Caenorhabditis elegans: one gene and its partner. The protein of the gene in region 2 purifies or fractionates together with the protein of the main gene of each other region. This does not show direct contact. Each region holds a gene or a part of one and is shown on either strand. Other genes may lie near its edges. The genes, in order: F55G11.8 and F35E12.10.

Evidence for each region.
Region 1: the proteins of F35E12.10 (region 2) and F55G11.8 fractionate together in Caenorhabditis elegans (co-fractionation; one large-scale study listed by BioGRID). This does not show direct contact.

The regions. Positions count from the first base shown.
Region 1 is NC_003282.8:12,960,979-12,965,463, reverse strand, and holds F55G11.8 (CUB-like domain-containing protein), read right to left. Parts: upstream 2,657-4,485; 5' UTR 2,582-2,656; coding exon 2,521-2,581; intron 2,476-2,520; coding exon 2,247-2,475; intron 1,965-2,246; coding exon 1,855-1,964; intron 1,808-1,854; coding exon 1,606-1,807; intron 1,480-1,605; coding exon 1,364-1,479; intron 1,320-1,363; coding exon 1,174-1,319; intron 1,092-1,173; coding exon 1,030-1,091; intron 982-1,029; coding exon 882-981; 3' UTR 819-881; downstream 1-818. Other genes in the region: dod-22 (CUB-like domain-containing protein), read right to left, coding at 1-13; F55G11.7 (CUB-like domain-containing protein), read right to left, coding at 3,344-3,443, 3,489-3,550, 3,604-3,749, 3,806-3,921, 4,037-4,241, 4,300-4,409.
Region 2 is NC_003283.11:13,745,110-13,750,368, forward strand, and holds F35E12.10 (CUB-like domain-containing protein), read right to left. Parts: upstream 3,244-5,259; 5' UTR 3,242-3,243; coding exon 3,172-3,241; intron 2,790-3,171; coding exon 2,686-2,789; intron 2,639-2,685; coding exon 2,535-2,638; intron 2,492-2,534; coding exon 2,370-2,491; intron 2,282-2,369; coding exon 2,178-2,281; intron 1,787-2,177; coding exon 1,338-1,786; intron 1,243-1,337; coding exon 913-1,242; intron 862-912; coding exon 681-861; 3' UTR 587-680; downstream 1-586. Other genes in the region: cld-9 (CUB-like domain-containing protein), read right to left, coding at 4,129-4,502, 4,550-4,752, 5,181-5,259.

The DNA of each region.
Region 1 (4,485 bases), on a different chromosome or scaffold from region 2:
CCTTCGATAGCATTTTCTAGAAAAAGTGAAAATCCCGATGCACCGAGAGTCCTTTTATGGTAAAGTTAACTGGGAGTGGTTGAAGCTTCTTATCAACTATGAAATCATAGAAAAGATCAGAAAGTTAAAACCGTTTTGATCAACCCTTATCGCTAGTAGTTCCACTCTTTTCCTGCATTTCTATACGTTTACTTCTACGCCAAATTTTTGTTTTTTTTTATCTTGTGATTACATGCCGTTCAGAACTGAAGACTGAACTGAACAGAACTGAAGTATTTGTGACAATCGATTTTGGATAAATTTTATCTCTGCTTAGAGTTGTACAGGTATACGTTTTTAATTTTTTAGTATGTTACTCAAAAGACGCAGGAAAGCATAGGAGAAGTGTGAGCTCGACCGGTTACTTGCGAACTTCTATCCGTGTCGGCTTCATTGACGATTTTGTTTTCCTCGACGTTCGTTACAAGTTCATCTTAAAATGTTTACAGGTGGAATCTTCTTCATGTGTTGGATAATTAGTGTAAATGTAAATCATTCTCACTCTTAAGATTTTCTGATTTCTTGAACTCGCATTGCTATCAGTATTAAATACTCATAACTTATCAGTGAAACTGCGACCTGTCCCAATAATGATGTCATTTTCAGACTAAAAGTTGTCACAAGACCATTATTTTTTAAACTTCATCTCTTAGCTTAGGGCATCATTTTACATTTTCACAGAGCTCACGACCCTACCCCTTACCCCCAACGCCTTCCATTGGCAGAAAGCCAAGTCTGAAGATGAACAGAGATATCTTAAACCGTATAAATTTCAAATATCAAAGTTTGCAAACCATCTGTATGAATTTGTAGGTCTTATTTATAAAAAAAACATTTAAAAATTAGCTCTTGAACGTGAAAACAGCTTTGCCACTGCTGACCACAAACTGCACAAAATATCCGCCGAACGACAGTGGGAATGCGTTCTTAAGTTGTGTTTTGCTGAAACAAAAAAAAAACTTAACTTGTAGAAACATAAAATTTACTCACGTATAGGTTTTATCAAATGTAAATGCGCTTGGAGAACCATCGTAGACTGTGACGGTAGATTCCTAATGTAACAATTAAAATATATCTCAGTTAAATATACTATTGAATTAAAAGTTTAAAATATTTTAATCTGGTTAAACATACATCTTTCATCTGAACATCAACCATGTGCATTGTGATATCGGAAACAGCAACAAGAGAAGACATGCGTGTCCCTCCGTTTACAGTTACATTATAGGTTGAGTTCAACTGCGGGTGGATTTCCACCGTCTCACTGATTCCAGTCAAGTCTGCGTATTTTTTTGTCACTATTGAAATTGATCCTTAGACTTACATCTAGATGCTTGGATGAGAAGTTTATCGTTAACCTGACTAGCGTCGAGGTTCACTATTACAATACTGTCTTGACTTGATACCCATTGCTTCTTCGACTGGTAGAGTAAGTAAAGACTGAAAAAATGTCAAATGATATTTTGCAATACCCTAGATTCTCTTTTTTATTACTTGCAGTTTAGACTTCAAGTATAGTATTGCTACTTGAAAAAATATCAAGAACTAACTAGTTTGAAAACTTACTTCGAAATGTAGTTTCCACTTTGCAGACCATTTCCTTCGAATATGAGAGCGCTTCTCAACGAATGATATTTTTTATCGTCTGCAGGGAAGGCCATTAAAGTGAGTCCACCAGTTGAACCATATTCAATGGCAAGAACCTCATTTGTTACATCCAAAACTGCTCCAACAGCTCCAACGCCATAGTTGGTATTCACTGATGGAACTGAAAATATTGAAAAATTAGAACTTTAAAGTGCACAATGAGCTTACGAGGAAACCAGACAACTTTGAAACCAAGTGTAGCAAATCCTTCGTTGGAGACAGCAAGAGTGAACTTTGAAGCCGGAAAGTAATAAGGTTCCATTTTCTCGTGGGTTGTTCTGTAAACATTGGATAAACTAAATGCTAACTAAATCTTACATTGTTCAAGAAATGCAACGTTCTATTGGGGTTTATCAGATTTATAATCAACTAAATATCTTTTAAATTATAACAGTTGAGCACTTTATCATGACACGAATAGCAGTAAACGAAGAAAATACAGTAAGTTAAAAAAAAATTAGTCATTCAATTGTCAGTGCAAAATCTTCCAAAGTTCAATTACGGAACTAACCTTCGGCCGCTTTAATCATCAGCACTCTAAAGTTGTAAAAATAACTCACTGAATAAGATTTCCTGCAGAATCGACAGTTTGGAATCTTGAATCCTTGTCAGTTGTCTTTCCACTGATTATCAGTTTTGCATAATATCCACGTGGAATTGTCACAATCCAACTGCACGACTGCTCCTTCTCAAGCTGAGGAGCTGGTTGGGTTTCGTTCCATGAAGCTGGCCAATAAAAAGGCTGACCATCAATAACGGGCTTATTGATTGCATTACCAAGTTTGCAACCTGCAGTTTTAACTTTGAAGAAAGAGTTATAAAACCTAGTTTTACCATTTCCCGTAGCCGAAACTATAGCAGCAATAGCCAAATAAATTAATAATTTTTGTAACATTTTGTTGAGAACTTTCACGTTCTGGAACTGAATATATAAACACAACCTGGATGACAATGTTTTCAGAAAAAGCATAAAACTGGCACGTTATCATCAAAATTGAAAACGTAGTTGATAAGAAAATGCCAATTATAAACTAGTGATGACCTTTTGGTTACAGTTTTGTTGACCAAATAATGAGTATAGAAATTGTCAGTACATATTTCCAAATCGAAAACTACTAGAGCAACTGCAATTCTTTTTTTCAAACGAAAATCGTCTAGGGTTTGAGCTATTGATTTCTGAATCTTTTGCCCACAGTGTCTTATCTTTCCCCTCTTCTTGTAAATTGTCATCATCAGGTGCAGAGTGCCTGAAAATTCGTAAAATCGTCATCGACAAAAAAGTTTATTCAATTAACTTTTGGAAAAATTTACAAGTTCCTGGTCGTTCTGCAAAATGATCTTGCGGCGACCTCGTTACACCAAAAGTTGTGTAGATCACAGTTAAACTGCAAAAAAAATCAACAGAAATTGTTCACAGAAAACGCTAAAATAAATCCTGAAAGGACTCGAGAAATCTTTAAAGATGAGAAAATGATGAACCAATTTGACAAAATCAAAAAATATCGAATAAAAAAGGATAAAAAGAGTGAAAATACGTAGAAACTTTCATAGCTTGGCAATGCCCGCTCATGTTTTTCTTCAAAACTTGAAAATAGCAAAATAGATTTGAGAATAAAAAATAGATTGGTATACTTTATTTTTAAAAAAACGATAAAAATTAACTTTTGAACGTGAACACAGCTTTGCCACTACTGACCACAAACTGCACGAAAGGTCCACGAAACGATAATGGAAGTGCATTTTTCAACTGTGTTCTACTGAAAACTGAGGCATTGAAGTTGAAAGAATTAATAGCGACTTACGTATAAGATTTATTAAGAGTTGATGCGTCTGGAGAACCATAGTAAACTGTGACTGTAGCGTCCTGGAAAATATAAAGGATTTTAATGAAAAACTCCAAAACTCTGTTAAACTTACACTTTCCATCTGAACATCAATCATTTGCATTGAGAGATCAGTCACCGCAACAAGTGATGACATCTGTGTTCCTCCGTTTACAGTTCCGTTATAGATTGAGTTGGCCTGAGGGTGAAGCTCCACCATCTCACCGGTTCCAGTCAAATCTGATTATTTTCTCAGTTTCAACCAAAACCATATTTTTGGCTATATTTTGGCTCACATTTAGATGCTTGAATAAGGAGTTTATCATTAGAACTACTGGCTTCAAGGTTCACTATGATGATTTCGTCTTGACTGGATACCCATTGCTCTTTCGTTTGGTACAGCTGGTAGAGACTGTAAAATTTCAAATTAAAACTAAGCCTTAAGGTAAACAAAAATGAACAGGCGTGGACGCTTAACTCGCATGTTCCTGCAGATTTGGAGCCAATATTACTTCCCTAACCCTTACTTTGAAATATAGTTAAAAGAGGTGCAATCGTGTCCATCAAATACAAGTGTACTTCTCAATGAATAATAATTCTTTGGGTTTACAGGGAAGGCCATCAATGTAAGAGAGTCACCAATTGAATAGTATTGCATAGCGATAACTTGACTCGTCACATTCATAACCAATCCATTAGCCCCGATTGCAGCATCGTCGTTCATAATTGGAACTGAAATATTCATAATTGAAACTGGAATATACGAATTAAAAGATTACGCGAAACTTACGAGTGAACCAAACAACTTTAAATGCAAAAGTATCTGATCCTTCATTAGAGACAGCCAGGGTGAACTTTGGACCCGGGAAGTAATACGGTTCCATGTTTTCTTGGGAAGTTCTGGAAACAATCATATTACCAGAAAATGGGTACCATATATGTAATAGTCAGAAATAGTTTCTGCCAGAATTATTGA
Region 2 (5,259 bases):
AATGTGGGTTGGTTGAGTCAGAATTTTTGTCAATATTACACAATATGTCGAAGAAATATTAAACATAAACCCGAAAATTCGCTATCTGATATCATCAATTGAAATTTTAATGCATACTGAAATTGAAATCGGAGATTAGGAACTTAACTTTTGAATAATGAATCATAATTTGACACGCATTAAATTTTGTATTTTGATTTTGTGAGTAAAGCCTTTTAAATAAAACTTCAAGTCTGGCACATAACTGGTAGGTGATGGGTTATGTTTTGTGATACTTTCTACTTTTCAAATCAAATTAAAATAGTCTTCACGGTCAATCGCGCGTATTTGTTTTTCAGATAAAAAGTTGCAGGCACACAATTGCCTATGCGTGCCTCGTATATATGTACGATATAGGCATACTAGGAGTTTTTCAGAGGAATTGAACTTTTCCCCATGTTCTTCATCAGATTTTGTTCATTTTTTTGGTAGTAAGACTGTTCCATGTGTGATTCTGGTAACAAATAGAGGATTTTCATTACACACACACGATCTGCAAATTTCATGAAAAAAACACACACATTTTCTAAATAATCGAGATAGCAGAAGTCATTAAAAACGTTTATTATGATGCCATATAAAGAAAAGAACAGAAGCAATCAAGAAATATCCGACATGTTTCCATTGATAAGATGAATAACTTAAAATACTCTCAATAATGTAACAAACAAAGTGATAAAGATGCCGATTGAAGTTGCAGAATTATATTTCTTGAATTCAAATGCAACTCGAACTTCGGTGTTGGAACTAGCGGTGAGTCCTACTTTCATGTAATTTCCATTTGAAGAGACTGATCCAGTGGAACTTTTATCACGTGGGTATCTGAAAAAATCTTAATACAAAAATGTTCTACAAAATATTTATTCAACTCACTGGTTGTTGATAGCTGGATTTCCAGTTCCTGAACCAATTTGAAGTGTCATTTGGTCATTCGAACTGAATTTCATTCTTTCAAAGTCAACTTTGTAGGTGAATAGTTGAGTGTCATTTCGGAAGTCATAGTTCAAATTGTTTGGATTTGCATTTGGATTCCATAGACTCGGAGAAATAATGTATCCTTTACGTCCGTCGTATGGTCTCTGCCACGTGGCTTCATCATTTCCAGTATTAACATCAAATTTAATTGTTGCCAAGTGAATGTTGATCGTGAACATATTAGTCGGAATAACTTGTGGCATTTGGCTTGATGTGTATGTTTGAGCACTGAAATTCAGAAATGCCAAAGTTAATAATTAAAGTTTTGTGGCGCTTGTCCACGAAGAGCTCAACGAATTTGATACAGTTTTTTGTGAACTCACTCATATTGAATCAACGTTTCTTTTTTATGAGTTGGTGATTGCCCTTGGAAATTGACCCATCCATTGGAAAAAGTCGCAAATTGCAATTCTGTGAAATAGAACTGATTGCAATCAAGGCACAGAAAAGTATATCCGCCCACATTTCCGGACAGATCACCCATATTTCCATAAGTTTTTCTTCCGGAGTTTGAAACGATAAAGCTATATTTACTGTATCCAATCATTGTAGTTGCGTCATTTCCAATAACGTATGACGTGGATTTTGTACCGTAGAAATTGACAAGTGTCAGTGATGTGGATGACGATTTGATATCAGATTTAGGCGAACCAATGTCAGCAAGAGTTCCAATCATTTTAGCAGTGGTAAGGTTGTCCCCGTCGTACACAAAGATTTGATCAAGAGCATTATCTTCAGCATCCGATGTTTTTTTGCCATGTGCTACCCTAACCTGTAAAGAAAATTAAATTCTATAAATATAAGAAATGCGTATTACTTAAAAATTCGCAATACTGCTACACAACAAAGCATTAACCAAAAATTATAGTTTATACTCTGATTCAAGATTGAATTTTTTGAAGCGTGGCAGCTTGATTTATCAATCAAAAGAGAAAGTTCTTTTTTCTTGGTTTAAAACCATTTTTACGTTGTTGCACATGAATTATACTACAAAATATTTATAAAACTCATGAGGCTTAACTGACTTTAGAAATATCGAGGTATATTTTGTGTATGAAAACGCTAGGTAAGGCTTGAATGCGGAGTTTGCCGAAAAGTTACCAGCAACTCCTCAAAGCACACAGTTTCTGAAGTGTTAAAATTTTCTGAAGCTTCTAACTAACCTTGTCATTTGGTGATGAGTTGAATGTGAAGTAGGTATTTCCGGTCAACTGAGATAAATCAAAATAATCTCCTGTTGTTTTCTTTACTTGAGTGAACCCGATCACTGAAACAAAGTGATGATTACACATTTTTAAAATTGTACAATATTTAAAATTTAAATTTTTTGTTGAGAATTCTATGCTAAAACTTACATTGGTTAAATCGATAAGTGACCATGAACTTGCTGTTACCAGTTGTTCCTTTGATTTTAATTGTAGCAATTGTAGCAGCTAGCCATACAGGAATAGTTGTATCATTTGTTGTAGGGCGTACTCTGTAATCTTTTTTTTCAAATTTTTTTCTGGCTTTCCACATACTCTCTCTGTTGATTATTGTTGTCAATTAACAAAATATGATCATCTGCTTGAAGAGGACCCACAGACAATTGAAGGAAAAGTGCATATCCGTTGGGAATGTCAAACTGAAAATAATGTTTTCTGTGTTTCGATGTGAAATCTCGAAAATTACATTAATTGTGCAGTCTGTGCCTTTTGGTATTACAACTGAACTTGTGGCTCCTTCAGGAATATTACCATTTTGTCTAACCGAGGTGATATTGTTAGCGGGACAATCTGAAGTTGTAAAATTGTATGTTTTAAACATGTCTATAAAATTGTTAAGTGTTTTTTATCTTTTGAGGTACACTGTGGTATCGAAACTGTCTATGTTCGTGACACCATGGAAAAGATACAAAATGCCTTTAGAATTTTGGAAGTTGTCTTAAATGGTAGGTAGGAAATTTTTCACTCGTGCCTGCTTACCTTCGTTTCATTAAAATTAATTTACGCAATTCATGGAATACAATTTATTGAAAAAGTTTAAAAAAAAGAAGAAATAACATTTACTTTTGCAAAATAATTTTTTGAAAACCATATTTATCTATATAATTTCTTTAATTTAATGAATAAGAATTTTTTTTCTAAAATCCCAAATAAATTTAAATTCTAAACTCACTAAAATCAACAGCTTCAGACAATCCAAAAAAGAACAATAAAAACACTGGAACCCGCATTGTGAAGACCATCTGGAAATTTTTTAAGCATTTGAAAAATATTTGGAAAAAGAAACGTATTAAAAATTTTGCCGAAGTTCAAATGACAGACTTTTGCCATCTGTCGTTCTAGGGCTAGCTTATATAAATAAAACTTGCTTGCGGTGCAGACACATACTGATAAGGATTTTTTGAAAGTTTAAAAGTTCAGTGACTCGACACTAATAACTATAAGTTCTGACATCATGAACTAATGGTCTGGAACTATAAGAAAGTAACGAGAAATGAGCCAACTACTAACAAATTCTACTCCCCTAAAGCCTAGATTTTTCCTTTTGTTTCACAAAAAAGTTGTAGATTTTTCTTACTAGGAATGTCAAACAAATGAAAAAGCTGTGCAAGTGGAACAAATATATTTACCTCGTGTTTATAATGGATTTTCTGTCTGAAAGCTTCTCCCTCCTCCTCAATCAAATGATTGTCACCCCACGCCCCCGGTTACGATTTGTTTATTTTCATGATAACTGCAGCACAATGAATCTGGAAAGAGGTGATTCATCTTTGTGAAACTTTATATTTCTGGAAAACAATAATTGTTAAATGACTCAGTGTTGCCTGAAAATCTTTCACATCAAAATAGGAAACCCATGAGAATTTAAGGGAACGAAGGACCATCGTTGTATGAAGGTACCTGTCAGAAGAGGTATGTAGTGGATCACATATCAAATACCATCTACGTTTCATTTCAAAATTAGCCGTCATTAAAAACTAGATCACAAAGAAATCATTCCTACATCATGCTCTTCATAGTTTGTAGTGTTTGGATTTTATAGTCTCTGACGTAACGCCTCTTCTCAACTTCATCTAATGCAAATAATTTATTGAGTTCTTCGAATATTAAGAAAATTAAGATTTTATAGTCAACAGTTCAAAAATAAAGCAATCAACAGACTAATTCCACTTGCAATACCAAATGTATTCTTCAATCCCGATTTAGTAGTTGATTGAATAGAAGAACTTGTAGATTTACTTGGTAAATAACTTGTCCCCTGCTCTCCGTTTGCATTGGCCATTTCAAATGTGACAATGGATGATGAAGAAGTTGAATCGCCTATGTATTCAATCATTAAATAAGTTCCATTGGCAAGTCGACTTTGATCCGAAACACTGTTAGTGAATGTCAAACTCGATGGTTTAAATCCTGGTAGTCCAACTTGAACATGCATCTGTTCTCCAGCCTGATGAATAATGGCCTTTTTAATATTGAAAGTAAATGTCATGACATTAGTTGATACTGAAACTTTAATAATTGTGATGTATTTAAAACAGGTATAAACGTACCAAATGTATGATTGTATCCTGATGTTGCTTCAGGTGTCCATAGAGATGATGAGAAAATACTTCCTTTCCTTCCATTATAAGGGGTTAACCAATTATCAGCAGTAGAAGACAAAGTCAATGAAAGTTCTGGGCCTAGTGTTACCATACTGAATAGCTTTGCCGGAATCATTTGAGGCATTGAGTTCTGCACTGCATCAGTTGCTCTGAAAATTTAGATAATTGAAAAGAAAAAAGTGATTCGTAATGAACACTAGAATTTTTACAGCTGAGTAGAAGGCCGAGATATCAACAACTATATTGTAAAGATTGAAAAAACGTGATCTACAACAAAAAATTGGCAAAAATAGACTCTATTGAAGTGACTTCAGAACAGTAAAACTGGCAAAAACCATAGACTGAAACAGTTTTTAACTAGGGCTAGAAAAAAATGGGTTTAAATGGCAGGTAAGCAAGTTTTTAGGTGACGTTGCCTGCCTACCACCTATTTTTAACGTAGATCAAACCAATATGACACACTCTGACACCACGTGAGACGGTTGGGATGGAAAATTTATGATTTCTGTTAATTCCATAAATGTTTTTTTGCTATCAAGAACGCTTATCCTTAGTTTAAAACAACTTAAAAACTTACAAATAAGTGAGATAAGTTATCTGATTATCCGAAGGTGTCAGTGTTTGTACATCAACTTTGTGTCCATTTGCTCCAAAAT